7 linked regions of the Mus musculus genome follow. The protein of the gene in region 1 interacts with the protein of each later gene in a pairwise test. Links are inferred from orthologs where the notes say so. Each region holds a gene or a part of one and is shown in the gene's direction. Other genes may lie near its edges.

Evidence for each region.
Region 2: the proteins of Sh3gl1 (region 1) and Mal2 interact in binary tests that used the Homo sapiens proteins (3 or more experiments, as listed by UniProt). The two-hybrid records come from large-scale screens. The link is inferred for Mus musculus from reciprocal best matches to the Homo sapiens genes SH3GL1 and MAL2.
Region 3: the proteins of Sh3gl1 (region 1) and Mta1 interact in binary tests that used the Homo sapiens proteins (3 or more experiments, as listed by UniProt). The two-hybrid records come from large-scale screens. The link is inferred for Mus musculus from reciprocal best matches to the Homo sapiens genes SH3GL1 and MTA1.
Region 4: the proteins of Sh3gl1 (region 1) and Fam102a interact in binary tests that used the Homo sapiens proteins (3 or more experiments, as listed by UniProt). The two-hybrid records come from large-scale screens. The link is inferred for Mus musculus from reciprocal best matches to the Homo sapiens genes SH3GL1 and EEIG1.
Region 5: the proteins of Sh3gl1 (region 1) and Dppa4 interact in binary tests that used the Homo sapiens proteins (3 or more experiments, as listed by UniProt). The link is inferred for Mus musculus from reciprocal best matches to the Homo sapiens genes SH3GL1 and DPPA4.
Region 6: the proteins of Sh3gl1 (region 1) and Gpkow interact in binary tests that used the Homo sapiens proteins (3 or more experiments, as listed by UniProt). The two-hybrid records come from large-scale screens. The link is inferred for Mus musculus from reciprocal best matches to the Homo sapiens genes SH3GL1 and GPKOW.
Region 7: the proteins of Sh3gl1 (region 1) and Sh2d4a interact in binary tests that used the Homo sapiens proteins (3 or more experiments, as listed by UniProt). The two-hybrid records come from large-scale screens. The link is inferred for Mus musculus from reciprocal best matches to the Homo sapiens genes SH3GL1 and SH2D4A.

Annotation. Positions count from the first base shown.
Region 1 is NC_000083.6:56,033,838-56,037,965, reverse strand, and holds the start of Sh3gl1 (endophilin-A2), read left to right. Parts: upstream 1-1,328; 5' UTR 1,329-1,506; coding exon 1,507-1,551; intron 1,552-2,876; exon of another isoform or gene 2,877-3,098; intron 3,099-4,128. UniProt on the Homo sapiens protein: Implicated in endocytosis. May recruit other proteins to membranes with high curvature.
Region 2 is NC_000081.6:54,570,237-54,574,165, forward strand, and holds the start of Mal2 (protein MAL2), read left to right. Parts: upstream 1-1,129; 5' UTR 1,130-1,272; coding exon 1,273-1,401; intron 1,402-3,929. UniProt on the Homo sapiens protein: Member of the machinery of polarized transport. Required for the indirect transcytotic route at the step of the egress of the transcytosing cargo from perinuclear endosomes in order for it to travel to the apical surface via a raft-dependent pathway.
Region 3 is NC_000078.6:113,129,278-113,132,777, forward strand, and holds part of Mta1 (metastasis-associated protein MTA1), read left to right. Parts: intron 1-842; coding exon 843-917; intron 918-1,256; coding exon 1,257-1,315; intron 1,316-1,607; coding exon 1,608-1,723; intron 1,724-2,038; coding exon 2,039-2,190; intron 2,191-2,295; coding exon 2,296-2,485; intron 2,486-2,610; coding exon 2,611-2,700; intron 2,701-3,500. UniProt on the Homo sapiens protein: Transcriptional coregulator which can act as both a transcriptional corepressor and coactivator. Acts as a component of the histone deacetylase NuRD complex which participates in the remodeling of chromatin.
Region 4 is NC_000068.7:32,534,037-32,538,158, forward strand, and holds the start of Fam102a (protein FAM102A), read left to right. Parts: upstream 1-1,322; 5' UTR 1,323-2,050; coding exon 2,051-2,196; intron 2,197-4,122. UniProt on the Homo sapiens protein: Key component of TNFSF11/RANKL- and TNF-induced osteoclastogenesis pathways, thereby mediates bone resorption in pathological bone loss conditions.
Region 5 is NC_000082.6:48,282,575-48,286,534, forward strand, and holds the start of Dppa4 (developmental pluripotency-associated protein 4), read left to right. Parts: upstream 1-1,160; 5' UTR 1,161-1,243; coding exon 1,244-1,267; intron 1,268-3,960. UniProt on the Homo sapiens protein: May be involved in the maintenance of active epigenetic status of target genes. May inhibit differentiation of embryonic cells into a primitive ectoderm lineage.
Region 6 is NC_000086.7:7,700,134-7,703,633, forward strand, and holds part of Gpkow (G-patch domain and KOW motifs-containing protein), read left to right. Parts: intron 1-1,929; coding exon 1,930-2,039; intron 2,040-3,236; coding exon 3,237-3,450; intron 3,451-3,500. UniProt on the Homo sapiens protein: RNA-binding protein involved in pre-mRNA splicing. As a component of the minor spliceosome, involved in the splicing of U12-type introns in pre-mRNAs.
Region 7 is NC_000074.6:68,275,270-68,279,327, forward strand, and holds the start of Sh2d4a (SH2 domain-containing protein 4A), read left to right. Parts: upstream 1-1,258; 5' UTR 1,259-1,603; intron 1,604-1,616; exon of another isoform or gene 1,617-1,678; intron 1,679-4,058. UniProt on the Homo sapiens protein: Inhibits estrogen-induced cell proliferation by competing with PLCG for binding to ESR1, blocking the effect of estrogen on PLCG and repressing estrogen-induced proliferation. May play a role in T-cell development and function.

The DNA of each region.
Region 1 (4,128 bases):
ATCTAAAAAAAAAAAAACAATGTTTAATTGGGACTGGCTTACAGGTTCAGAGATTCAGTTCATTATCATCCAGGCGGGAACATAGCAATATCCAGGCAGACATGGTGAAGGTGGAGCTGAGAGTTCTACATCTTCATCTGAGGGCTGCTAGCAGAATACTGGCTTCCAGGCAGCTAGGATGAGGGTCTTAAAGCTCACACCCACAGTGACACACCTACTCCAGCAGGGGCACAACTTCTAATAGTGCCACTCCCTGGTCTGAGCATATACAAGCCATCACAGATATCATTCAATTAGAGTCCTCTTTCTGTCTTAATGATGAGAGGAAGCTCACTGCAGGGCTAATGCGCAAAAAAGCAATGATGTCCTATAGCTGGTACATGACAGGAATGAACCAATGGAACTCGAAATAGGAGATAGCTACAGTCTGAGCGAACTATTTTGAAAATATGTTTCTAGTGGGGCTCATTGGTGCACACCTGTGATTTAGCACTTGGGACGTGGAGGAGCTTGGACAGGAGTTCAAGGTCATCCTTGGTTATACAGTAAGTTTGAGGCTTAGCCTGGGTTATGCAATATCTGCTCTGAAATAAAGTTATGAAGAAGGAAATAAAGGACTCTCTTTTCTAGTTGTATCCTCAGCGATTTATTAGAAGGGAGACACTGAAGGAAGGACCCCAGAGAGAAGGCTGGTGGCGTGTTAGCATTTGGGCCTCTGCCGGGATTAAAGGCGTACATGCATCACCACTGGCATACCTCATATTAATTTTTAAGTTATGGGTATATATGTGACCCGGTGTACTTGAGAGCAGTTGAAGGAGGCCAGGAAAGGGCTGTGACCCGGAGCTGGAGTTACAGACAGCTAGCTATGAGCAAGCAGCCTGATGTGGATGCGAGGAACTGAACTCCCGATGTCAGCCAGGGCAGCAAGCACTTTTACCTGGAGAACCAACCGTTCCTCTAGCCCCTAAGATATTCCATTTTACCTCGCTTTGTCTTTATTACACTCTCGCTGGCAAATTCCGCTCCGCTTTCTCCACGCACAAATAAAATATTAATTAATTAAAACTGACTTTTGGCTTTATATCTACTCCTGGACTCTAGAGGGAGCTGCATCATGCGTACACGCGCACGTACACAGATTTCTGGCCTCTCTAGGCGCCCCCTCATCTCGTTGGTGTGGGAGGGTTTCCGCCGTTCCTCCCCCGGCAATGCTCTTTCTGTCCTCCAGGGGGCGCGCACGCGCAGAGAGGCGGAGCGCGCGCAGATGCCGTTGTAGGGTGGGGTGAGGCGATATGGGGGCGTCACCGGAAGTGTGCGGTTGCCATGTAATATCCCGGCCGCGCGTGCGCGCTAGCCGGCCGAGGTGGCTTCGGGGCGGGGGCGCAGAGCTGGCAAGCTGATTTGGCGGTGGCGGCGCCGACCTGCGCGCGGAGGAAAGAAGTCGGTTCGGCGGCGCCGGCGGAAACCGGAGTTCGAGCGGGAGGCCTGACGGCGGCAGGCGGCATGTCGGTGGCGGGGCTGAAGAAGCAGTTCTACAAGGCGAGCCAGGTGAGGCGAGGCCAGGCGATCTGGTCTCGGGCCTGCCTTTGGGGACCGCAGACGAGCCGAGCTGGCTTCCCTTGGGCTAGCGGGGAAGGGGAGACCGGGTCCCCGTGCTTTGAAGAGGGACACCGGGTGTGCGCGTCTAGGCGGCTTTCAGAAAGCTCTGGAGGGCCGGCGAAAGGGCTTCATTGAGAGGGGCTTGCCGCCAGGCTTTACAACGTAAGTTCGATTCCTGGGATCGCAGCATGGAAGGCAAGCCCCCCCCCCCCCAAAGTCTCCAGGCTATGCTTCCGAGACTCTCACCACATAGCCTCAGGCCACAGAAAATGTTTGTCTAGGTTGATATCCAAAAAAACCAAGTCCACACAGGGCTTAAAAAATAATCAGTGTCCCATTCTTCTTTTCCCTCTCCGGTGTCTGTAAGACGGATTGAAAAAAAAAAAACCTAAAAAACCAAAAACAAACATTCTCGCTCACTGGGTGTTATACATCATTAATCCCTGCACACTTGAGGCAGTCAGGTAAGCAGATCTCTGAGTTTGAGGCCAGCCAGGGTTACGTAACATAAGGAGACCCTGTCTCAAAAATGAAAGAAAAATCTCTTGGTAGACACTGTGGCAAGTTGAAAAGAGACAGTGAAAAGTAATTTTCCAGGCTTCTGCAGTTTACAAAATGTGTCAGGTTTGTGTCCCTATTTCTAAAACATATGTATGCTTCTTTGAAAGATACGTTTTTGTTGGCTGTACCATACTATAGATTCCTATAGGTACTTGGTGGTTTGGGTTTAGTGTTTAATCGATCCGATCATGACTCTGAACTGAAATTCTCCTTTCTGGTTGTGTTGACATTCAGGAGTTCTGTAGGGTGGGCATCCTGGCCTCCGTTGTATAAACATTGAGAACCCTACCCCAGGCAGGCAGGCGCTCCTTTCAGACATCCTATAGTGTAATGTCCCTCTGGAACTTTTGGGGGGTTTTTTGAGGCCAAGTTTTGCTCGTAGTCCAGGCTGGCCCAGAATTTTCCATCTTCCTGCCTCTCAGGCGCTGGGATGACAGGATACCTTTGTGTGTTGAAGGTTTTATATTTGCCTTGAACTCCTGGGCTCAAGTGAGCCTGTTCCCTCAGCTCTGTCAGGTTTCTGCTTGAGAAAACCCTTGTTGTCTCATCTCTGTCTCAGTCAGGCCAGAGTGGCCTCATAGTCATTATCCTCCCGCCTCTGCCTCCCGGTGCTGAGTTACAGATGTTTGTCACCAAACCTCAGTGGCCAGAAGTTCGTGACTGAGTTTTCTCCTGTCTGTTTTGAGTTTCTTTTCTTCTGCCTTTTCCTCCAGGTTGCTAGATCGATTGTGCTCGCGAGTGCGCTCTCTCTTTCTCTCTCGTTTGATGGATGTTTGCTGGGGTTGGAGCCCAGGACCTCAACCACACTGGCAACAGCTCTACCCTGAGCCATGACCTCAGCTTGACATGCATTTTACATGGGACACTGCTGGAAAGCCTGGCAGGCCTGTAACCCCAGGCCCTCTGGCCGCTGAGGCAGGAGGATCAAAAGCCAAGTGAGTTCCAAGTGAAGCCTGTGGAGCCAGCTTGGCTGCTATGTCTGATACCCTAGAGGTCACCAGGGTTGATGCTAGTGTGGCTGGAGGAGGCTGTCTTCTGCCTGTGCATCCAATCCAGTGCTTGTCTCACTCAGCTCAGAGGCCAGACCCCACCAGTGTTGGAGCAGCTGGCTCCCCTTCTCGAACTCCTGAATAGCTTTCGGAATGCAGAGGATAGGATAGGACCCGGGCTCTGGGCTTCAAAGTAAGAACTTTCATATCTCAAAATGACAACAGATCTGGGTGTGTAGCTAGTTGGTAGAGTACTTGCCTACCACACAGGAAGCCCTGGTTTTGTTACAAGTTGAGGGCCAGCCTGGTATACAGTGTTAGTTCCAAGGGTATGTAGTGAAACCCCATTCAAACAAGTAGTTCAGAGCCTGCAACCCATAGTCATGCAAGCCCTGGATCTTTGCAGGGAGGTCTGTGAACACGTAGTTTGTTGCCCGGTTTCTGTTCCAAGAAGCCCCAGATGTGCTAATCCTGTGGCTGTGCAGTACAGCCCGAGAATCCTGGGTGTGGAGCTGGCTCGAGTAGATTCCACAGAGAGATGAGCAACAGTGTAAGGAATTGCTTGGGCCATGCCTGTGAGAAAGGTTCTCCCCACAGTCTGGAGAGGCCCAGCCAGAGGGAGCAGCCAGCTGGTGCTGTCACCCAAGGGCTGAAAAGAAGGAAGGGCCTAGCAGTTGCCTAAGGATAAAGACATCTGAGCTCTATCTGTGGACCTCATAGGGAGGCTAGCAATGGAGTTGATGTGGTAGGACCTATGCAGTAGGCAAGAGACCTCCAGTGCCTGAACTCCTTAGGCTGTGATGCCAGCCTGGGTTCTGTGGCTGTCCTTCTGTTTGAATGCCTGTGGCCCCACATCCCTCAGATGGAGTTCCCGGAGGTCCCTCCCCTGCTGATTCCCAGCAGGTCCTGTCAGGGACTCATAGGCAGCCACTAGACTCTTTCCCACTTGGAGGGCCACCCATCCCACCTGCCTACA
Region 2 (3,929 bases), on another chromosome or scaffold:
CCCATGCAGGGAACAACTCACAGTTCAAGAGCTAAACTTAATAGATCAGAACAAGACTCAATTTGTAGAATGTCCGATACTCGAATAGGTTTGTGTGTCCGTGTACATGTGTGCACGCATGCATATGTGTATAGTAGACACACATTTACATATCCACATACTTGATTGCTGTTCTTGTTGCTTGACAGGTTCTTTCTAGGTATCCCAAGCTATTCTATTACCAGCTTTGCAGTCTATGCTGACTTCAAACTCAGGGCAATCCACACTCTGTGAAGTACTATGATTCCGGGCGTGTATCCCCATGCCTGGGTCAGGTTTTACCAACGTGGTCTACATATGTGCTGATCTGTGGAACTTATCTTTAGATGATCTCTGAGAAATGTCCCTTTGTTCATTCCACTTTCAGAACATTGACAGCAAAACCAATAAAATGGGAATGCAAGGGGGGGAAACTGGGGCTTGGGATTCATATGTAGTAGTGTCCTGTTCTGTTTTAATAATTGTTAAGTCTTTAAAAGCAGTAGCAAAGAATACCTTTCTGAAAATGGAATAAAAAGTGTCTGTGTGGAAACGTAATGAAGCTAACATTTTGTGTATGATTATTGACGTCAAAACTGGAAAAAATAGCTACCATCCTATAAGCTACATCGCTTCCTGTACACCTAACTCTTCTGCCCATCATTGGTGGACATCCTCGTACGGATTTCTGAGACCAGAACAGAAATGACTCAAGGCCTTCCTCCAGGGTCCCACTGCCAACGACTCCAATGTGCTACATGACCCTGAAAATCCCCCTAGAATCGCCTTTAAAACAGGCATCCCATTTTCCAGGTGTGCCTGGCAACTTGGTGTTTTCCTTCTGAGTCACAGCCTCTGTCTTCCTACCCAACTGGGGAAAGTGGGTGAGGACCAGCGGGGAGACTTGAGTGGGATGGGCAGGTGGGAACCAGCAGACAGTTAGTGCAGGAGCAGCAAGTGATCTGAAGATCCAGGAGGGCTGCAGAGCTGGCGCTGAGGCTGGGGCGCACCACACCTGTGCTGGTGACCCTGACTGTCGCTAGGGCGGAGGCGCGCTCACCTGTGCCCACGTGACGGGGCGGGCCTCTGTCGGCAGAGGGCCCGTGGCCACACCCTTTCCGCGAGCAGCACGCCTGAACCCCACGGATCGGATCGGCGGCGGCGGCGGCGGCGGCGGCCAAGCCCGGGAGGCGGCGGCGGGACGCGGGAGGCGGTGGCGGCGGTGGCGGTGCGCGGAGACGTAGCAGCGGCAGCATGTCGGCCGGCGGAGCAGTCCCGCCGCCCCCGAACCCTGCCGTGTCCTTCCCGGCGCCCCGGGTCACCCTGCCCGCTGGCCCCGACATCCTAAGGACGTACTCCGGAGCTTTCGTCTGTCTGGAGATTGTAAGTGGGGCAGCTTAGGTGAAGATCGAGTCCCGGGAGCATGGACAGGCAGCATCCTTGCCCCCAGCCCGGGGTTGGTCCCTCTGAATACCCCTCCCTCAGCCTTCATCCTCTAGAAGTGGCCTTTTACTGGAGTCAGTCTCGGGGTCCTCTCCACTTAGGACCCGGGCCTCTTGCCTGGCACCTGTTACGCGGACACCTGCTCGCCGGCCTGGAATGGAAATGTGCCCTAGAGACCGATCAGGCTAGGGGCCCATGATTAGGGACTTGGGCAGGAGCCCTCTCCTGTTGGATCTCGGGGACTCTGGGCTTTGGATAGGAGCTGCGTTTGACTAGAGGAGGAACCAGCGTTCTCGGCCTTTCCCGTTGCCAACCTGCCATTTTGTTGGGTGGTGCAAAGGTGAACTGATGACTGGGTGGCCAGGAAGCTGTTAGGATGTGGAAAGCCTGGACGGGAGGCGCCAGGGAAAGGAAGAGGAGGCTGAAGCCTGGGTATGGTTTTCACCAGACTCACCCTTGCCATAGCCAGTGCCCTTTGGATTGAGAAAGAACAGGGCAGGGAGAAAGGTGAGGTTGTAGGTGCAGCAGGCAGTGTGTAATCAAGTGGGTGTGAAAATGGAGGGGCAAAGTGGAAGTGGGGCAGTCAGCCTCAGCTCTTGCCTTTGCACCTCCTGTCCTTTTCTAAGTTTACCTGAGAATTCCAAACCACCTCAGAACACTTTGCTCCGCCCAAAGTCAAGTTGATGCCACAAGCCTGCCCTGCCACCTTGTTGAACTAGACACTTGAACTTAGCGAAAGGAATGCTGTGGAGTTGGGAGTTTTTGAAGCTCCTTGTGGACAAGGGGGAAATGTGCAAATAGAAATTGGGCAACTGGGGTTGCGTCATGCTGGGAGAATGTCAAATAGAAAGACATGTCAGCAAAGCGGTGTCATTCCTGTCGGCTGGTTCTGTTTGCTCTGTTTAGGGTTTTCATGTCAACCCTCATCCACTCCTGCGAGTTTGCATAACCTGGATCTAGGTCACTCGGGGTTCCCTTTTGTGCTGCTGAGCTGAAAACCTTGTGGGCATTGGTTTTCTGCCCCATTATGCTTAGGTAGCCAAGCCACCTTGGGTTTAGCTCAGATTTGAATCTGAAAGAAGAGACCCAAGTGAATGAGTCACAGGCAGTGGCACCTGAGATCAGATAGTGAGTGTGACACTAGAAGACCCTGGCATGGGTTCGGATTTGAGCCCAATTCAGCATCGTAGGAATGACTAAGGTGGGTGGCAGGCATCCATGTGAGAGGAACAGGGAGGAGATGGCGTTGGACCAGACTCCTGACTGTGGAGGGGACACAGCTTTTAAAACAGGAAGCGTTGCAGAGAAAGAGTTCCCAGATTCTGGGCTCCTTTCCTGCCGTGTTCCTCAAGTTCCACGTGCTTGCTTCCTCTTTCACGAGTTCTTCCCACGGCTTTAGTTACGTCCTACTTATCCTGAAATTTACAGAGGATCTGGAGACATAGAGGCACAGCTTAAACTTTGGTAGAAGTTAGGCTCAATCCTCAGGAGTAATGTACAGTTAATCTCCAATTTGATAGGTTGGTTCCTCATAGTTATTCAAATATATAGGTAAAACATACACACAGAAGTCTTTCATATGTATGTATGTATGTATGTGTGTGTGTGTGTGTGTGTGTGTGTGTGTGTGTGTGGTGCACGGAAGTCTTACTAAATCAAGTGATACTCAGGATCCACCTGTGGATGTGCCACACTTCATGGGACACTAGTACTAAAGGTTAACAAAGCAAAGAGGTGACTTATTGAGCCCCTCCCAACTTCATATCTCCTTTTCCTATCTACCATAGTAGTTAGTTCTCAATTCTTGCTGTACTTAATAACTTGGCAGCTCTTACAAGTCCTGATGCCAGCCCAGCCTAATTAAATGAGAGTCTCTAGGGGAGCACCCAGAGTCAGCTAATTTTTTTTAAAGGTCCCTGGGGATTCTAATACATAGTATAGCTGCAACCCACTGATAGAGTCTTTGAACCAGGCTGTGTAGAAAAGAGAATTTCCTCACAAATGTGAATATGTATGTTTGTTAGAACAGATAGGATGATTAGATCCTGGAAATGTGAGGAAGTATCTCACACATTTCCAAAAACGTAGCTTGCTTCCTGCTTTCTTAAACTTCTGCTCCTCTGGAAACTTACCTAACCCTGACATGTGCTCAGACGCTTATAAAGATAGAAGTGTCTCTTTGAATTTGCACCGTGTGTGTGTGTGTGTGTGTGTGTGTGTGTGTGTGTGTGCATGCACATACGCACACATGCATGTTCAGTTGATGTGGGTGCATGTGTGTGGGCTCATGCTTGCGTGTGCAAGTGCATATGGAGGCCAAAGGACAACTTTGGGTGTCATTCCTCAGAGACTGCCCACTGTTTCTTTTTCATATTTTGCTTATTGAAGCAAGGGGGGGCATGATCACTTCCATAATACTTTATGGAAGTAAGAGGACAACTTCAGGAGTGGATTCTCTACTTTTACTT
Region 3 (3,500 bases), on another chromosome or scaffold:
ATGCCACTCAACACTTCATGAGTCTGCTCACAGGAAATTGTTCGTAGATAAAGCTCAAAGATCTAAAGAGACAATGTTTGCAGGTGACATTTAACCAGCACACAGCCTTTAAAGACTGAAGTTGCCAGCCTTGGTGTGTAGCTCAGTGGGAGAACGCATCCCTTGTATGTAGGACACCCTGGTTCTGATCCCTGCCACTGCCAACAGACCGACCAAACAGTAACTCAGGGGAGAAGACGAAACTTGAGTGATGTAGCTGGTGGCCCAGGGAGCACTGGAAGGAGGCACAGGGTTAGGGGCTTGTAGCTGTGTGCTGAAAGAGAGAAACCTTAGGTGCTTGACACTGGAAAGAAACACATAACGGGAAGGACAAAGAACATGGAAAAGTCGCCCTGGAGCTCAGTAACCCAGAGAAGCGGGAGGTTTGGCGTTCCAGCCAAGGAGTTAAGAATGTGGGCCGTGGGGAGGCCTCTCATTCAAGCCCCTGAGAATGGGTGATTCCAACAAATTCACCCCTCTCTGGTTCTGGAAGCTGAGAAGTCCTGGTTGAGGGACTTGAGCCGATCTTGTCCATACATCTCTGATTCTTGGTAAGAACAGAACCAAGTTATGGTCATCTCCTTCCAGGCATAATGGTAATTGTTTTAGCTTGGATTTTCAGGGAAGAGCAAGGTCAACCAGATACCTGCTATGGTCTTGCTGTGTTTAATGAACACTGGGGGCGGGGTGCCGTTAGTGGGAGACCTGATGTGATACCCAGCACTGCCTCTGCCACTCTTCTCCTTCGCCTGTGTGGGCAGCAGCCCTGTTCTGCCACCCATCGTGTTGCCTTGTCCCCGCAGCTCCCATGGAAGTCGCTCACCAGCATCATTGAGTATTACTACATGTGGAAGACCACCGACAGATACGTCCAGCAGGTAGACCATCCACTCTCGCACCACGCTATCCGTCCTCTCCAATCCCCACATAGCCACATTACATTTGTTCATACTTTCCCAGCGGCCTCCCCTTAAGCCCTAGAGCAAAGAGGAAGGAGCTGGGGTCACTAGAGGACTCACAGACTGGGAGGAAGGGACATTCCTCACCCTTAGCCAGCCTGGTACCCCCACTTCCTGGGCCTAGGTTGGCCAGGGAGGGCCATGCAAGTTTTCCCTAAGGATGCCAGTGATGGAGAAACAAATGGTGACCCCTCCCTGTGGCCTCCCAGCTTCCCTGGCCAGCCTGGTGACCTCCCTCACCCTCTGTTTTGTTTAAAGAAACGCTTGAAAGCAGCTGAAGCTGAGAGCAAGTTAAAGCAGGTTTATATTCCCAACTAGTAAGTCCTATTTCATGTTCCTGGGGCGGGTCAGGGTGGGCGGTGGGTGTAGGACTCCAGGTTTGGCAGCCTCCAGAGTTGAGCTGAAGAACCTCTGCCACCCTTCTCATGAGCTTGCTCCACTGGGGAGGAGGGATCAGGATTTAAGCTTTTTTGGCTCAGGAGTTAATCTGGGTTTAGTGCTAAGCATTTTGGGCTATGGCAGCTGAAACACAGTGGACAGAGGAACAGGGATGTCTGTGGGGATCCAGACACCCCAGGGCACCTGTGACTGATCCCTCTCCTCCATCAGTAACAAGCCCAACCCAAACCAGATCAGCGCCAGCAGTGTCAAGGCCACTGTAGTGAATGGCACAGGGACACCAGGCCAGAGCCCCGGGGCCGGTCGGGCCTGCGAGAGCTGTTACAGTAAGTGCTGTCCCGGCTGGCACCCACCCTGGGCAGCAGGGGCCACGGGAATGGATGCTACTGTGTGGCCCCTGAAGGCTCCTGCGCCCAAACCTGGAATGACTCACCATAGTGGGGCTGCAGTGGTGGTGGTGGTGGCGGCGGGGGGTGGGATGGGGTAGTTTGGAAGAGTTCCTCAGGAGTATGAGGTTGGCCTCCTTTGGTCCTGAGCCAGGAGTTGGGGTGGCTGTGGTGGCGGTGGGGACACTGTGGGATGCTCTCTGCACCGTTGGTCCTGCTTAAGAATCCGTCTATTTCCAACTTTGTTGTCCGTAGCCACACAGTCTTACCAGTGGTATTCTTGGGGTCCCCCTAACATGCAGTGTCGCCTCTGCGCATCTTGTTGGACATATTGGAAGAAATATGGTGGCTTGAAAATGCCAACCCGGTTAGATGGAGAGAGGCCGGGACCAAACCGCAATAACATGGTAAGTGGGACACACCATACTGATCTGCCACCTGCTGCATGTCAGCCTCGGGTCCTTGGCTTCCAGTCACAGTGCTATATTGGGGCACCGTGCCCCATTCCACAGAGTCCCCATGGCATCCCAGCTCGGAGCAGTGGGAGCCCCAAGTTTGCCATGAAGACAAGGCAGGCCTTCTACCTGCATACTACCAAGTTGACACGCATTGCCCGGCGCTTGTGCCGTGAGATCCTACGCCCATGGCATGCTGCCCGCCACCCCTACATGCCCATCAACAGCGCAGCAATCAAGGCTGAATGTGAGTCTTCCCCTGTTCTCTTTCTTGGGCCTAGCAGGAGCCACACTCAGGCAGAGTGTCCAGGTTGGGGTACAGGTTCTTGGGGAACATGGTTCTTCACCGTACCTTGTCCTGTCCTTGTACAGGCACAGCACGGCTGCCCGAAGCCTCCCAGAGCCCACTGGTGCTGAAGCAGGTAGTACGGAAGCCCCTGGAGGCCGTGCTCCGGTATCTTGGTAAGCTCAACGGCTGACTTAGGTTTCTGGCTTTGCTCCTCGCACCCCATCTAGGGTCACTGAGTGGTCACCCGGCTTACACTAGGCGGGCGTGCCCGGCTCAGGAGCACCCACAGAGAGCTGTGCTCGTCCTGTCCTCCAGGTCCTGGGTCCCAGAGCCTCTGGCTTTAACCTTCCTGCCATACTCTGTGTCCTGACTAAAAGTTTCTGTTTGAGACAGGGTCTTTCTTTGTACCTAGCCCTGGCTATCCTGGAACTATGTAGACCAGGCTGGCCTCAAACCCGAGATCCTCCTGCCTCTTCCTCCAAAGCGCTGGGATTAAAGGCGTGCACCACCACTGACTTCTGACTCGGGTTTATACCAGGCAGAACCCTACCAACAGAGCCCGGGCTCAGTGGACACCTGCTGCTGCAAGGGGGTCTCTCCCTAACATAAGGCAGCATTGGAGGCTTTCTGGGAGCCCCTGTTGTCAAGGTGCTGGTCTGGCTGGCAGCCTTGCAGGGATAGCTCCTTGCTTGTGTTTGTTTGTGGACTGTTGACTTCTCGGCAGTGCCCCTGGCCATTTAGGAGTGACACATCATAGGAGGCTGTGGCAGACACTTGGGGTCACTTGTTTGTAGGGTTTGAGTGGACTTGAGTCAGTCTGCCAGCATGGAGTGAACAGTCCTTCTAGAAAGGACATTCCAGAACCATAAGCTAAGTGTGTTCATTGCAGACACAAGTGCCTGGCTTTGCTCCCTGGGTCCTAGGCCCCAGGACTAGCCTCACCCAGGAGGGTGTGGTCAGTGCCAGGGCCTGC
Region 4 (4,122 bases), on another chromosome or scaffold:
CAGAGATTGCCACCCATGCTTCTGAAATGTAAGCTCAGGAAGTCTTCATGCACATGTCCAAACATGATATCATGCATGGTATCAAACATGATGTCCGGCAGAGAATTTACATCTCAAATGCCAATCAGCCCAACTCTCTTTAATTTTCCACAGGGAAGTCCAGCAGACCTTAACTTATCTCCTGCCCGGATCAAAAACGGCCTTTCACTCACCCATTTCCCCATTTTCTTTCCTCCAAGTTATCTGATGCCAGAACAATCAAGTCACTATCTAGCTCAAAAAACCAGGAGATGCCTCCTTCTTTGCTCTGGTCTACAAGACTGGGCCAGATTCTAGCCTGATCTGCTGTTCTCTCAAATTAGAATTCATCCAGGGATACTCCACAAACTTTTTGAGTACCATGCTGCCGGGCCAGCAGGCCTCTAGTGACTGCCACTGCCTGTACCCCGATGCTTGGCCGGCTTTGTGTCAGAATCCTTTGAACTTCCGTTCCAATCCGAAAGCACACGCCTCCTCTGACCTCCCTACTTGAGTTCTTCAGCAGACTCTCAGATCCAGTCTTTCCACTGGGTGCCTGCCTGACTCAGGACAGAGTTCCTAAACACTGGCGGCCTGGATAAAAAGAATCATAAAATGCCGATAGTTTGGAGAGTACGAGGTCCCCAAGGTGTCCTTTGCCATAACTATCGGGAAACTTTAAACAAAAGCCTTAGATAACAGCCTGGAACCAGGCAGGCCGAGTCACAAGGTTGCCGGGCTCCAATGGATCTTCAAGAGCGGCAAAGCCAGGACAGATGCTTGTCATTTTTAGAGGCGAGCAAGACCTGCATAGGTCTTGAGACACCTCTGCGATTGTTTTCCTGAGAACAGGGGTGCTACCTCCTCAGCCTGCTTCATTGCTCACTGAGCTCAGGTCTTGGCGGGATCCGGGCAGGCCGTTCTAGCCCTAGTTTCCAGATTGTTTCCCCTAGTCATTGTTTCTCCTTTTCTTGGGCTCGCGCTCTCCTCCCGTTCTTTCCAGTGCCGGCCCCCACACCCCGCGACCTCCCACCGCCTCTCCGCACCCCCCCCCACCGCGCTTCTCAAGGAGGCGGGTCCAGCCCCGCGAGCGCTCCAATCCGAGCGCCCTCAACTGGCCCTGCCTCCGCGAGCCCCGCCCCACGCCACCGCCAGCCAATAGAAATTCGTGTTCGTACAGTCGGCCTGTCCAATCGCAGGTTGGCTGTGAGCCTCGCGCGCCCCGCCCCTGCTGCTCTCGGCCGCGGCTCCGCGGGCGGTCGCGCCGGGGCTTCGGCATTCTCCGAGCAGCGCCGAGCTGCGTCGGGCTCAGCCGGCTGCGTCCGGAGGTGCGGGCGACGGCGCCGCTGTGCTCCAGCGGTGCTAACCGAGGCAGAAGCCATCCGGCCGGGTCGGAAGGCGCCTGAGACTCGGGCAGGGCAGGAGCGGCGTAGGTCCCAGGACTGAGCGGGAGGCGGACCGGCACACGTTCCCGGCCCGGCAGAGCCTCCCGAAGCGGTCCCTGCAGAGCCGGGTCGGTCGCCGAGGTGGCTTCCGCTTCCCGGGGCCTCACCTGCGCAGGCCGCGGTGCGCCAGGTGCGGAGGCGTGTGCGTCGCCTGGGCACCTCCCACGGCAGCCAGCGGGGCGGAGGCGGGGCCGCCGCCCGGGTCTCCAGCGGTTCGCCCGGCCGTCTCCGTCAGTCTCACCGGTCCGCCGGGCCCCGCGGATCGGGATGCTGCTGCTCGCTTGCGAGCCGCCCTCCACGCCAGCCCCCGCTGCCGGGGCCGCACCTCGCTGTTTACATGTCAGTGGAGCCCGGGTTCCCCGAGGGTGAGAGCAGCCGGCTCACTGGACCTGGGGCTCCGAACTCAGATCCTCTCCTGCCCGCAGCCTCCGCCGCCATCTGGACTGGATCCAGCTCTGGTGTTTTTGAGGAGGGGGGTGTGGTGTCGGGAAAGGAATCCTGGGGTTTTCTAGTATCCCCTTCTTTTTTTCTTTTTTCTTTTCTTTTTCTTTTTGGCCCTGCGGGCTTCAGACTCAGGGAACTTGCTCATGGCTTTTTTGATGAAGAAGAAGAAATTTAAATTTCAAACCACTTTCACCTTGGAGGAGCTGACTGCGGTCCCCTTCGTGAACGGGGTCCTCTTTTGCAAGGTCCGGCTGCTGGATGGCGGGGATTTTGTCAGCTTGTCGTCCAGGTAGGCATTGAGGTTTTCGCGTTTGCAGGGGAGGGTGGGGAGTGCTGATGAGTGAGATCTAGCCACTTGGCAAATGTGGAAGACTCAGCTAGGGACGGATGGGCAAGGGGCCCGCCTGGGGAAAGATTTGCTCTAAGCAGGACTTAGGTCTGAGTGAGCTGGCAGAGCGCCTGGCATTTGTCTGCAGGTGACCAGCCAGAAACCTTTTAGGGCCCTGCGTGCACTCTTCAAGTCACCCGTTTTACAGATTTGTATGGAGAGAGCTGACTGAGATTTTCACTTTAAGGGATTAAGTAAGGGTGTCTCAGGCCACCTTGCCACCAAGCTGGCTCCTGTGGCTGTCATACGATTGAGAGATTGGGCCAGCCAGGGCTCTCTGGCTCTCTCCCCTTGGCTGGGAAAGCCCAGTTCCAGGCACTCCCTGGATTTGATTGCGGGAGGTGGCTGGATTTTGGGTTGCCCAGCCCCCTCTTGAGTGACTGCCCTCCACTGGCTAAAGCTGGACTGCTTTGCAATGCAAATGTCCTTGCCAGGAGACTGCCTTCCCCTGTGAAAAAAGCCATCGGGTTTGATTTTGTGTCCGTCATCGTCCTAGTAGGTCCAGCTTCCCAGTTTATTGCTGAATGAGGTCCCAGTCCACCTTTTGCAGGTTGAGCTCATGGCGGTCACACAGTCCTGACCTGCCTGCAGAGGTCCGTAGAGTCCAGCTAATGGGGAAAGGAAGTCAAGTTCAGGCTCTTTCTGGGTTCCTGTTCCCTCTTCGGCACACTGGACCTAATACAGGTTTCTCCATCAGCTTTGTAAAGGGAAGTTGCAGTAGATAGGCCCCTGGCCCAGCTCCCGAGATGCTTCCCCCTCCTAGCCTGTCCCTTGCTTCTTAGGTCTTGTGGGCCTAGTTAGCTGGACCTGCCCCACTATTCAGAGCGCTCAGAGGTGTGTTAGACGGATTGGGATAATGAGCCCCAGAAAGAGGAAGTAAATTGGTTGCCAGAGACTTTGCCGGAGGCATTTGTCAACCAGATTTGGCCAGTTGGAAGACCTGTTGGGTGAATTCTGTTGGAAGGAGAGAAGCTATGTGGTCTGATTCAGATTTTGGAATCTGTGGATAGAGGTGCCTGTTCTGTGCACTGGGCCTCCTGTTCTGCTCAGGGCCGCTTATCTGAGGAATTTGGACAAGGGCTGCCCTTTGTGGTGGGGGTGGCTGCAATCCTCTGCCTGTGAAGTCTGTAATCCCTGCAGTTACCCTTCCTAACGACCGGCTGGTCCGGCCATGGCGCAGTGTCAGAGGGTTGTGCTCAGTGATTGGACCTGGGGTCAGCCACTGAGAAATACCCAGTCTCCCTGATCTCACGTGCTGGCAATTACTGGTGCTCTGCTCACGGTCTCACTAGCACCTCTCAACACCACCCACGGAGCAGGAGTAGAGGAGGGGGAATCATTCTTACAGAGGTGAAAACAGAGGCTCAGAGAGAGTGACTTTAGCTGTTACACTGTGCCTCTGACCCTCAGTTTCCTCTTACTGTAAAATGGGGAAGTAATGTTCACCTTTCAGTTGTGAGGGGAATGGAGAGTGTACCATGCATGACCAGGGGAGTGGCTACAGTAGTTAAGATTACTGTATTGTAAGGGGTCCCGGCCCCAGCCTTCCCCAACCCCAGGCTACAGGATGGGGGGGACACCCCTTAATCAGCAGAGGTCCTTAAGTGATCTGGGATTGAGCACAGTACCAAGGAATTTGTACCAAGCCCAGGCTAAAGTTTCACATGTCTACTTAGACCCTTAGCCAGCCACTGTGACCCTACCTGTCAGCTTTTCTCCTGCCTCAACATGTCCCCACATCCTGGAAAGTCTGGAAAGTTCCAGGACTTACTTAGCACACATGCTCTGGATTTCACCTCTGTTTTCCCTTCTTCCGCCTGGCAAGAG
Region 5 (3,960 bases), on another chromosome or scaffold:
ACCACATGGTGGCTCACAACCATCCATAACGAGATCTGACTCCCCCTTCTGGAGTGTCTGAAGACAGCTACAATGTACTTCCATATAATAAATAAATAAATCTTTAAAAAAAAAAAAAAAAACAGTTGGCAGATAGAAAGTTACAGTTTTGAACCAGGCTCGGTGGCCTGAATTCCAGCCCTGGGGAAGCTAGAAGATCAGAAATTCAAGCCCTGGCCAGGTGTGGTGGGGTACACCTTGAATCCTAGCAGTCAGGAGGATGAGACAGGAAGACCTCAGTATGCTGCAGGTCCGTGGAGACTTCAAAAAAGGAGGGTTGGATGGGGAAGAATTAAAAGAGTTGTAATTTTATGGGCTGGGATTGTAGCTCAGTGGTAGATTGATTGGTGCACAGAAACAAAGCCCAGGGTGAGCCCTGAAACCACCAAAACAATGCAACCCCCACCCCCTGCCATCTCATGGAAAAGGATTTCTGGAGCAACTGGGTTGTTTTCATTCCTGTTCAGGATGCTAATTCCATTAGATAAATTTGCAGTCTTTTCAGAATTCTCTAGGAACTTCACTTTCCCTTAGCAATATTTAGGTTCTTTCTTTCTTTCTTTCTTTCTTTCTTTCTTTCTTTCTTTCTTTCTTTCTTTCTTTCTTTCTTTCTTTCTTTCTTTCTTCCTTCCTTCCTTCCTTCCTTCCTTCCCTTTTTTTTTTTTTTTTCTTTTTTCTAAGATAGAGTCTCACTATGTAGACTAGGCTGACCAGGAGCTCAGAGAGATCCACCTGCCTCTGCATCTCTAATGCTGGGATTAAAGGTGTGTGCTGCCACGCCCAGCAATAATTACAGTTTTAAATATCCCAGATCTACAGTTGCCAGGAGCAGGGGGTAGCAGCTCACACCTCTAAATCGCAGTATTCCGGAGGTTGAGACAGTACAATATACAAAGCGCATTTCTGGCCAGGCAAAGAAATGATAAACTCTGCCTCAAAAACAAAACAAAACAAAACAAACAAAAAAAAATTCGAGGAAACAAGCCTAATAATTAAACCACACAAAAGGGGATTTTATTAAAATCAGCCACAAAAGGAGATTTTAGCATCACAATTTTGTTGAGGGTGGGACCAGAAGGGGAGGGGAACGGAAGAGGGCCTCAAGACAACAGGAAGTAGGAGGAGATTTTGAAAAGCCGGCTGAGGTCAGAGGTCTTTTGGAAGCTGGGAGAACTTTCTTTCGGAGGATTCATCTATTCTCAAGATGGAGACTGCTGGAGACAAGAAGGTGAGAACTGTTTTTACAATTTGGCTTTCCAAATGAGGGCCCCTCATTTTTGAGTATAGCCAGCCATTGTTTGGAGAAGAGAAGAATGAGCGTTACAATTTGTTACAACCTTAATTGTTTTTTTAAAAAAAATTATTATTTAAAGGCAGGTGTGTGGCTTGGCGGGCCCGCTCGAAGTGGCCTTGCGCGAGACCCTGGGGCCCGGGTGTAGATGTGTTAGGAGAGGAGGGTGTGTTTTGGAAGGAATGCTTTGTTAGGAAGGAATTTAGAATCCCGTAGCTGGTCCCGGGATAAAACAGGGTATAAACTGAGGCTTTGGGTAGCCTCGGAAGGAGTCCCCAGTTAACCTGAGAGGACCCGAGGGCTTAACCCAAAAGTGCCTGCTACAGGGCTTCCAGGCCCCTTAATTTATCCATAGGCCCTCAGAATCTATGAATTTTGACATGGCAGACCTGCTGGTTCCTAACTGTAGTAGCCAGGATAGGATGCTGAGCACTTTCCTGGACTCCTCCCCAAGAAACCGCCAGCCATTTTCATCTTTCTTTATTGTAAGAATTTTGTTAAGTCCTAAAGTGAATCCTTTATAAAGAGGTTGTGCAAAAGTAAATCTTAGTCCTTGGGAAGCCGGTCCCTATTGTGATGGGAGAGAACTGAGGTGTCAAGTAACAGGAAATGCTAAATTGTCACTTCCACAATTGCGGGGGTGGAGGAGGGGGGGGGTGGAAAAGACCTAGGTTTTGGAGCTAAGTGACCTGGTGGTTTTACTTATTTATTTAGTGAGTTATTGTTTTGTTTCTCTGTAGTCCTGGGTACCCGGGACTCGCTCTGTAAACCAGGTTGGTTTGCCTCCCGGGTGCCACCCTCTCTTTTCTTTCTGAAACAAGGTTTCTCTGTAGCCCTGGCTGTCCTGTAACTCACTCTTGTAGACCAGGCTAGCCAGGAACTGAAGAGATTCGCCTTCCTCTGCCTCCCGAGTGCTGGGATAAAGGCATGTGCCATGACCACCTGGCTTTAATAAGCTTTTAACTTTTGGCCCTCCATGTTGAAAATACAGTAGTGGTTCTGAAGTTATATAAAGATTAAATGAGGCAAGGAGTGTGTTTAGTCGTGTATATGCTGGAAGAGGCTTAATATTTGTTAGGTTTTTTTTTTTTTTTTTTGGTGTGTGTGTGTGTGTGTGTTTCTTTCTGTGCTTAGGGATTTTTTTGTTGTCGTTGTTGTTGTTCCCTTAATTAAACTGAATATTTATTATCCATCCTCAGCAATAAAAGGGAGAGGGACCCCATTCTTATGGAGTTTAAAATCAGATGGAATTAATTGACACATGGAAATGAGGTAACATGTGGTAGATTTTTGAGATTCCAGCAAAATAACCCTTGAATTGAGACTCGGAGGACAGTGAGGTGTAAGAACTGAAGGAGGAGTGGGTGGGTCCTAACACATCACCAGGCTGTTTTAACAATTGGAAACTGTCCCTAGGCCATGTCTGAGAGGCTCTGAAGGGAAATCAAGCCACGGAAGTGACAGTGCCTTTGGTACATCACTCTGGCTACAAATTTCTTTGGGTGAGCCTAGAACCAAGGACTAGGGGAAACAGTTTTTGGGTGTGAGACTACAGAGTAAGGTTTTCTTTGTCCAAGAGTGGACCACTATCCGGTTGCTTTCATTATCTTCTGTTGCTCTGTTCATACCTATTTCATCCTTTAGTTTTATCCTGTAGCCTAAGCTTGGGTAGAGGAGGCACCAAGGATGTGACAGATCCGTCACATCCTTGGTGCCTCCTCTGCATTCACTGCACAGGTGCTAATACAGCTTCAGTTTGGATTTCTTCCTTCCTTAAGACAGTCCCATAGGGGGCGGGCCTGTGGACCAAATCCCAGCACTTACCCTGAGGCAGGCGGGCCTCTGAGTTCAAGGCCAGCCTGGTCTACAAATCTAATTCCAGGACTGCCAGGGAAGCTACTTAGAGAAAAACCCTAGCTCTAAAAAACAAAGACGAAGATAGTCTTACAAGTCTGGGCTGGCCTGGCCTTGGTCCTAGCCTAGGGTTACAGTTGTATGTCACCAAGCCTGTTTCTTTTTCTATTCTTTTTTTTTTTAAGATTTTTTTTTCATTTACATTTCAAATGCTACCCCAAAAGTCCCCTATACCCTGCCCCCACCCTGCTCCCCACTTCCTGGCCCTGGCAATCCCCTGAACTGGGGCATATGATCTTCGCAAGACCAAGGGCCTCTCCTCCCAATGATGGCTGACTAGGCCATCCTCTGCTACATATGCAGCTAGAGACACGAGCTCGGGTACTGGCTAGTTCATATTGTTGTTCCTCCTATAGGGTTGCAGTTCCCTTTAGCTCCTTGGGTACTTTCTCTAGCTCCTTCATTAGGGGCCCTGTGTTCCATCCAATAAATGATTATGAACATCCACTTCTGTATTTGCCAGACACTGGCATAGCCTCACAAAAGACAGATATATCAGGGTCCTGTCAGCAAAATCTTTCTGACATATGCAATAGTGTCTGAGTTTGGTGGTTGTATATAGGATGGATCCCCAGGTGGGGCAGTCTCTGGATGGTCCTTCCTTTGGTCTCAGCTCCAAACTTTGTAACTTCTTCCATGGGTATTTTGTTCCCCATTCTAAGGAGCGAAGCATCCACACTTTGGTCTTCATTCTTCTTGAGTTTCATGTGTTTTGC
Region 6 (3,500 bases), on another chromosome or scaffold:
CAGTCTCATGTTGTCTAAGCTGGCCTTGAATTCACTCTGTTGATAAAAATGACCTTGAACTTCATGCTTACAACTATAATCAGGCTTTGGTCTGCCCTACTTTTTTGGAAACAGGGTCTTGCTGTATTCCTGACTGTTCTGAATGTCTATGTAGATTAGGCTGGCCTCAAACTCAGAGATCTGCCTGCCTCTGCCTCCCAAGTGCTGGAACTAAAGGTGTGCAAACTACGTCCCACTTTGCCTTCCTTAAGAAAACAAAACTTTTTTTTTCTTTTTACTTTTCATGCTTTGATTGGAATTCAGGACCTTCCCTGTGCTAAAATGCCTGTTATTGAGCTATACTTTTTTTTTTGGTTTTTCGAGACAGGGTTTCTCTGTATAGCCCTGGTTGTCCTGGAATGAGCTGTGCTTCTTGCCCATACTTCATTCTATCCTGTTCTGGCCTTGACCTCATCTCTCTAATTTCCCCATCTCCAAGCCTCCATACCATCTACATCTCAGATGACCACAATTCTAGCCATCCGTCCTCTCAGCTTAAAATCCTTGGAGCCAATCCTTGACTTCCCTTTTTATTTCATATTCTACACGTAGCCTATCAGCCCAACCTCATCATCTCCACTTCAGTAGATCCAGAAGCCAATAGCTTCTTAGTCATCCACATTACTAGCATCCTGGGCAGAGGCAGCATCTGGACTAAGTTTCTCATGGGTCTTTCTTGGGGCTCCCATGTGACTCTTGGTCCCATGACGTTTCCAGTTCTCCTCATTAATTCCTTACCATCTCTGCTTCCACCTTTCCTGTTGATTTCCATGGTTCTTAACCATACATACAAAGTCTAACCTTACTGCAGGCTCTTTTTTTTGCTTGTTTTGTATTTTGAGACAGGGCTTCACTGTGTAGCTCAGGCTGGCCTTGAGCTCACAGAGATAAGCTGCTCCCACCTCCCAAGTATGCCCTTTATTTTTACAACCGAGTCTGTTTGGAGCAGTCTTCTCACATCCTCATCTGTTCTGCTATCTTTTATCATTTATCTGATTAAATGTCAGGTCGTGGCTCCCATCTCCCTTTGAATTCCCTTAGCCAGGTATTTTTTGAGTTTGGGTTTGGTTTTGAGATTGGGGGTGGGGGGAGTCCCAGCATGTTGCCCAAGCTGGTTTCAAATTCTTGGGTTTAAGCTAGATTCCTCCCTTACCTCATACATAGCAGGGCCTACTGGACAGTGCCACTTTATTTTTAAATGTGTCACCACTTGATGTATCGTGTTTTCAGAACTCGATTTGTTGTATGTCTTGACAACTAGATCATAAGGCCCAACAGACTTTTTCCATTTTATTAGTTCCTTATCCTCAGCACCTAAATAAAAGGTCCTGTAAATCTTTTGAAAGCATGTGGATATTTGTTGAAGCTGGGTATGGTGGTCCATGTATTACATCCCAGCACTTAGGAGACAGGGGCAGGCTGATCTCTGAGTTTAAAGCCTGCCTGGTCTGGTCAACAGAGAGAGTTCCAGGACAGCCAGAGCTGCATAGTGAGAGCCTGTCTCAAGCAGACAGACTGGGAAGAAGGGGCAGTAGAGCAATAGCTCAGAGTTAAGAACACTTGCTCCATACCTCCAGTTCCAGGGCATCAAATGCTCACTTCTGACCTCCACTGAAACCAAGCACAACACACATCATGGGCATACATATATGTAAGCAAACCATTCAGACACATAGCATAAAATAATCCTAAAAAACGTTTTGTTGTTACTGAAAGACTCGGGGGTGGAGGAGCAGAGTGAGGAGTGATAAGAAATGAAAACTGTCCTTCAAGCTATCTGTTCAGGGGCCAGGGCTAGAGAAAGTCAGCCCGTGAGTGGCAGGCAGCAAGTGCATGGCAGAGGGCCCATCCCAAGCAAAACCTGACTCTCTTCTCCTGCCTGACCAATAGGTGCCGGAGGAAGCCGACTATGAGGCAGTCCCTGTGGAGGCCTATGGGCTGGCCATGTTGCGGGGCATGGGATGGAAACCTGGCAAGGGCATCGGCAATACCTTCAGTCAGTGAGTTTGGTGGGGGGAATGGGGGGGACAATGGGTATAAATAAGACCCCTGTAGTTACATTTAATCTAGAACTATCTAGGTGCTGAGGGAGGACATTATCACTAGTTACCCACTACTGTTTCAAACTGTGGTTTCCACAGCGTTGTTATTCCAAAAGAACACTAAGGTCCTCTTTGTGGATCAATTTCCTCATCTGAAAAATGCAGGCGGTACTAACTTCACAGGTTTGTTGCAAGAGTAGGATTTAGTCCCTAATAAACTAGCAGAAACTAAACATTTTTTTACATTTATTTATTTAGTATATGTAAATACACTGTAGCTGTCTTCAAACACCCTAGAAGAGGGCATCAGATCTCATTACAGATGGTTGGGAGCCACCATGTGGTTGCTGGGATTTGAACTCAGGACCTTTGGAAGAGCAGTCAGTGCTCTTACCCACTGAGCCATCTCTCCAGCCCCCAAACTAAGCATCTTTTCTCTTATTTTATAGACTTATAGTCCTTTTGTTGGGCTGGTGTGTAGCTTACCTACCATGTAAAAGGTCTTCCATCTGTAGAACTGAAAGCAAAATCCCTTTGCAGTTGTAAATCCCAAAGAATTTAAGTCATTTGGTAAGCCAGATATGACTGTGATTGATAGTGAACATTCTTTACTGTTCCCCTTGCTCTGTGTACATATTATGATTTCTTCTGTAAATATATTAGTTAGTATATTTGTTTATACAAACCTAACTTGGCACTTGTAGATAGGAGTAATAAGAGTATATGGGACAAGTTAATTTAGTTACACTACATGAAATTGCTATGGGGGCACTAAAAGTGAGGCTCAATGGTAGAATGGCTTATGCATTGAAGCCCTGGATTTGACCCCTAACACCACAAAAAAAGAAAAGTTGGCATTTTTATAACTCACAGAGTCCTTATATGGTATCAGAAAGGGTAATTAAATACAGATGTGAGCTGGTGAGATGGCTGGGCAGGTAAAGGCCCTTGTCTGTAATCCTGATGAACTCAGAACTCACGTGGCTGAAAGAGAACAGCCCCTCCCACCCCCAAGCAGTCGTCTGATTTTTACATGTGTGTTGTGGTGTACAAGCATACACAAGTAAATTAACAATTAAAACAAGGATTGCTGAGGTGGGTTGGATATTGGAAGGCTTGCCTTTTGTACTCCTACAAGCCTATTTTTCTCTGCAGGGTAGTGAAGCCCCGAGTCAACTCTATAAGGCCGAAGGGCTTAGGGCTAGGTGCCAACCGGATGGAGGCTCAGGACTTGGCCTCCGTAGGCTCTCACCACCCACCAAGACCAGATGGGGATCGAGAGAATGATAAGGAAGGCCAACCTCAAGGGCTGATGCATGGAAGAGCTGTGGTTGTCCTTTCTGGCCCCTACCGGGGCCTCTATGGCAAGGTAAGAAAACATATTCCTGAAGCCATGTCAGGTAGCTGGAGTGAGTAAGC
Region 7 (4,058 bases), on another chromosome or scaffold:
AATGCATTTGAATATTGCGTGCCAGAAATGGTTCTGAACACTTTGTGCAAGAGCCTCTATCTATTCAATAGTCTCTGGCATGCAGTAAGTATCCAAACATATTAGGGCCAGCCATGCTCTGAGCACTTTGCATGCATTATCTCACTTGAGCCTCACAAGAATTGAATCAGCCAGGCACTGCTGATATCGTGAATGGCAAACTGTAAGGCTAAATGTAAGGGGGAGAGCTGTCATCAAGAAAGGCTTGTCAGGACTTGGAGACAGAATGAGTCTGGAGGAGGGTACCTAGTGATAGCATCAGTGTCCCATGGGCCCCTGAGCTGGCTGATAGCCAGCTTGTACAGCTCCTTAGTTTCCAGAGAGTGTGAGGACACGTGCTGAGCAGATACCACCAGTAGGCAGAGGAGGACAGAGCATTCTAAGGCACCTCATCTGGCCACCCAGTTCAGTACAGTGGAGAGTAAGCTTCGGGCCGGGAGTCCTTGCCTGAGTGGATCTCAAGCACAATTCCCAAATGGCTGAGTCGTGTTTCCTGAGAGTGTAGGGTGTAACTCCTGGCTGTAAGGTTTTCCAACTCAAGGGTTTTCTGCGGTTGTGAAAGCCTAAGATAAACAATGTTTGGGTCCAGCATGCCAGGCTCCTAAATCGATTGGACAGGGTGTATAAAGTCACACCGTGTTTCTTGTTTATAAGACTTCTCTCTAACCTCCACAGTCTGAGGTCCTGTGTCATCCCTCCGCACCTCTCAGCCCTGTTTTCTCCCCACATCCCTAACGTTCCTCACCCGTGGAAAAGGCTGGTCCACCTTTCCACTCGGCTCAGCTTTCCTCCCTCCCACGTATGCTTAGGCTTCATTGGTGCTCTGTGCCATCCGGGCCCTGATCTGTTAGTCACAGGGGACTTCCACCTTTTTCCCCCTTTCATGTTTCTCTCCCTGGCTGCCCCTGTCCCTAGTGCCTTCAGCCTGCAGCATTCCAGTCTTTCTCTTCCTTGATCATGCTCGGTAAAGCCACACCTGGAGTCACAAATGCTTCAGAGTTTGATAATTTACTTAATGTCAACAAAAGAGAAGGAAAAAGTAAGCTGTAGAATGCAGGGGCAGAACTACAGCCAACTTGGCCTGCAGGACCCAGGTTCCCAAATGGGCCTTGCCTGCCTCCGCAGGCTCCACCTACAAGTCAAATGTGGAAGGGGCCGGACTATTGTAATTAATAAGTCCCACAGACCCCCACTGAGGTGGTAAGGCAAACTACCCCAGACTGTAGACAGCGCTCTAGATTAACCAAGGACTAGTGGCCTTGCTGTCACTGGACCAAGGCAGCCAAGCTTGCCTACTGGCCCTGGAGCGCCTCCAGCACCCGGGTGGGGCCTTGAGGGAGCGCCCAGTCAGTCACCCCAGCATGTGGGCGCGGCGGGGCGGGCCAGGGCTGCGATCTGGACGCTGAGTGTCCTTCTGGTCCCGAGTGTTTGTCCAGACAGCCCGCGCGGCTGGGTCTCTGGGAGGCTGGGTCTCTGCTTGTCCTCCCTTCTCTTCCCGGACAGTTGCTGTAGGCAATCTGGAGGTGGCAGGTGCTTGGGTCACCTTGCTCCGGGTACTGAGCAGGTAGGTGACCGGGTCGGGTAAAACGCTGGAGCATGGAGCCAGGCAGAAGGGTGAGCGAGGAGTGGGAACCAGCAGGTGAGTCTCTAGAGCGAAGGGTAAAGCACAGAGGACAGGGACAGGAGGAGACCCTGGTTCCCGCGGTCAGGCTGTTCACCTGTCCCTCTGGTCCCTCCTCCACCGCGCGCAGGGCGAGCTCGGGTGCCCAGAGGAACCGACCGCCACAGCTGTGGGTGTCCGATGTCTCGTGTAGGGTGTCCAGTATCGGCAGCCGGGGCCGGGCGAGTGGCGGCCCTAAGAATAGAGGGCTTGTGATCATTATACTAAGAGTCTCCAGTGGGAGGAGAATCGGAGGCAACTTGGAGTCTTTCAGGGAAGTCATGGTGCCCGGGCGGTGTGCATGCACGCGTGGTGAGTGCTTACACTGGCCGGGGCAGGTGCAGCTGCGGAAGCAACCTGCGAGGGTCGGGGCCACGAAGCAGGTGCTGGGTGCCTGCAACAGTACCCACAAATCAGCGGAGGTCCAATCACTGGGCAGTGCCATGTGGTCTCTCCTGGCCCGGAGGTGACCTTCCAGACAGAGTCCTGAAACCTGTTTCAGCCCACGCAGAACTCTATTAGAGAGCTCCCCGCGCGGGGACACCCTCCCGCGGGCGCCCTCACGTGGTACAGAGAGCAGCGGGCTCGTCCCCTCCCTATGGTTCTGGGTCAAGGCTCAATCTAAAATCAGCCTAGCAAGAACTTTCCTCAACAAAAGTAAACCATCCGCAGCCACTCCTGCCCTGGGGGGTTCATGGGCCCTAGGTGGAGTCACTCACTGTTTGCAGATTTTCTCAATAGTGTTTCTCTTCACTATGGCCCTAGAGAAGCAGGGATAACCAGCTACATCTTGCTCAGTTCCCTGACAAGCTTCTCTTGTTTGTGGAACGAAACAATGTATTTATAATTTTTAATTTAATAAATAAGTGGAAGAAATACTTAGGTGAAGATTGGGCACAAATGGACTTGTCTAGTTATATCTGTGAAATACTTCAATCTCGAGAGCATTTACAGAACTTCCAGCTGCTCTCACCACTTGCAATTTATTTTATTTTCAAAATCATCAAGTAAATTAATGAGAAAAAAAAAATCGAACAATCCGAAGCCTGTCCACAGAGCTAGCTGTTTAAAGAATAGATAGAACTTAATCTAAATTCTTAACTTTAGGGATATATGTACTATACATACCACGATAATTCTATGAAGATAGCTGTATTAGGCTCTATACTAATTAAAAACACAATTATGTAGAAAAATGGAAAGTGTGAAAGTCAGACCAGATCTACAGGTATCCTGGGAACCTAACTGAATTTTGTACTCTTTCAAATTTTTAGAGTGAGCAACAGGTATGGACTTGTTGCTTGTTATTTGTCTTTTTCAAAAAAAAAAATGCCACAGGAGAAGAAAAACAAGTTAGTTGAGCTGCACTTTGTGTTGAACCTCGAGTGATTACACTCAGTATGAGACAAAACCATCACCGTGCAGATCAACGTTAGCAGTGATTGTCCTGTAGAGTGAAAGAAGGAAAAACCCAGGCGGATTCACTTCCTCCTTTTTATTTCCTGTACTTGTCTCAGGAACTTCAACGTAGATTTTATCTCAGTATCCAAGAGCTACAAAGATCCCCAGATTAATTTTATGGATTAGGAAATATGGTCCAAAGACTTGAGGTGACCTCCCAAAGTCACAGCTCACTGGAGGCAGAGCTGGGAATCTAGGCTGGTGTCCTTTGAAGTATCCTGTAAGCCAATTGCTGCTATACTCAGAGGGAATCAGCAGTCCAATTTGGTGCCCATAGTCAAAAGCCATCACTTGTTAATTGGGTTTCTTTTGTATTCTCTGAGGCCACCAGGAGCCACTGTAGTTTCTTCAAGTGTAATTAAACTGTCCCTGGTGGTCAGGGTCTATAATAACAATTTTGTGAGAGAAAAAGGGCAGTCAGTATGGAAAGCTGAAAGCCTGCTTAGGCTAGGATGTGTTAAAAACTAGCCTGGACAATTGAGACTCCATCTCAAAATATAGAGTAAAAGGGGGACTGGAGGTATAGCTCAATAACAGTGAATTTGCCTAGCATGTGCAAGGGCCAGGCTTTAATCACCAGACCATAAAATAAAACATTCCAGATAACATTGATGCTTGAAGCCCATGTTACACAAGCTACCCAAAGCAAAGCCAAAGGAAAGAAAAGAGCTTGCACACCTCTTTACTGAGGTACTAGGAAAGGGACTATTAAGGAGACAAAGCACCTGGCAAGTGGAGAATAAATGGAAGACAAACTCCCTACTGGACCAATGTGGGTGTCAACCTTGTCTCCTTTCTGGATGGGGTATTTTCTTCTGTGTCTTCTCTAAGCTTATCTGTACTTGATAAGGGTAGGGCTTCTGCACTGCTGGGGTATCTCCACTTGTGCAGTTTTCTT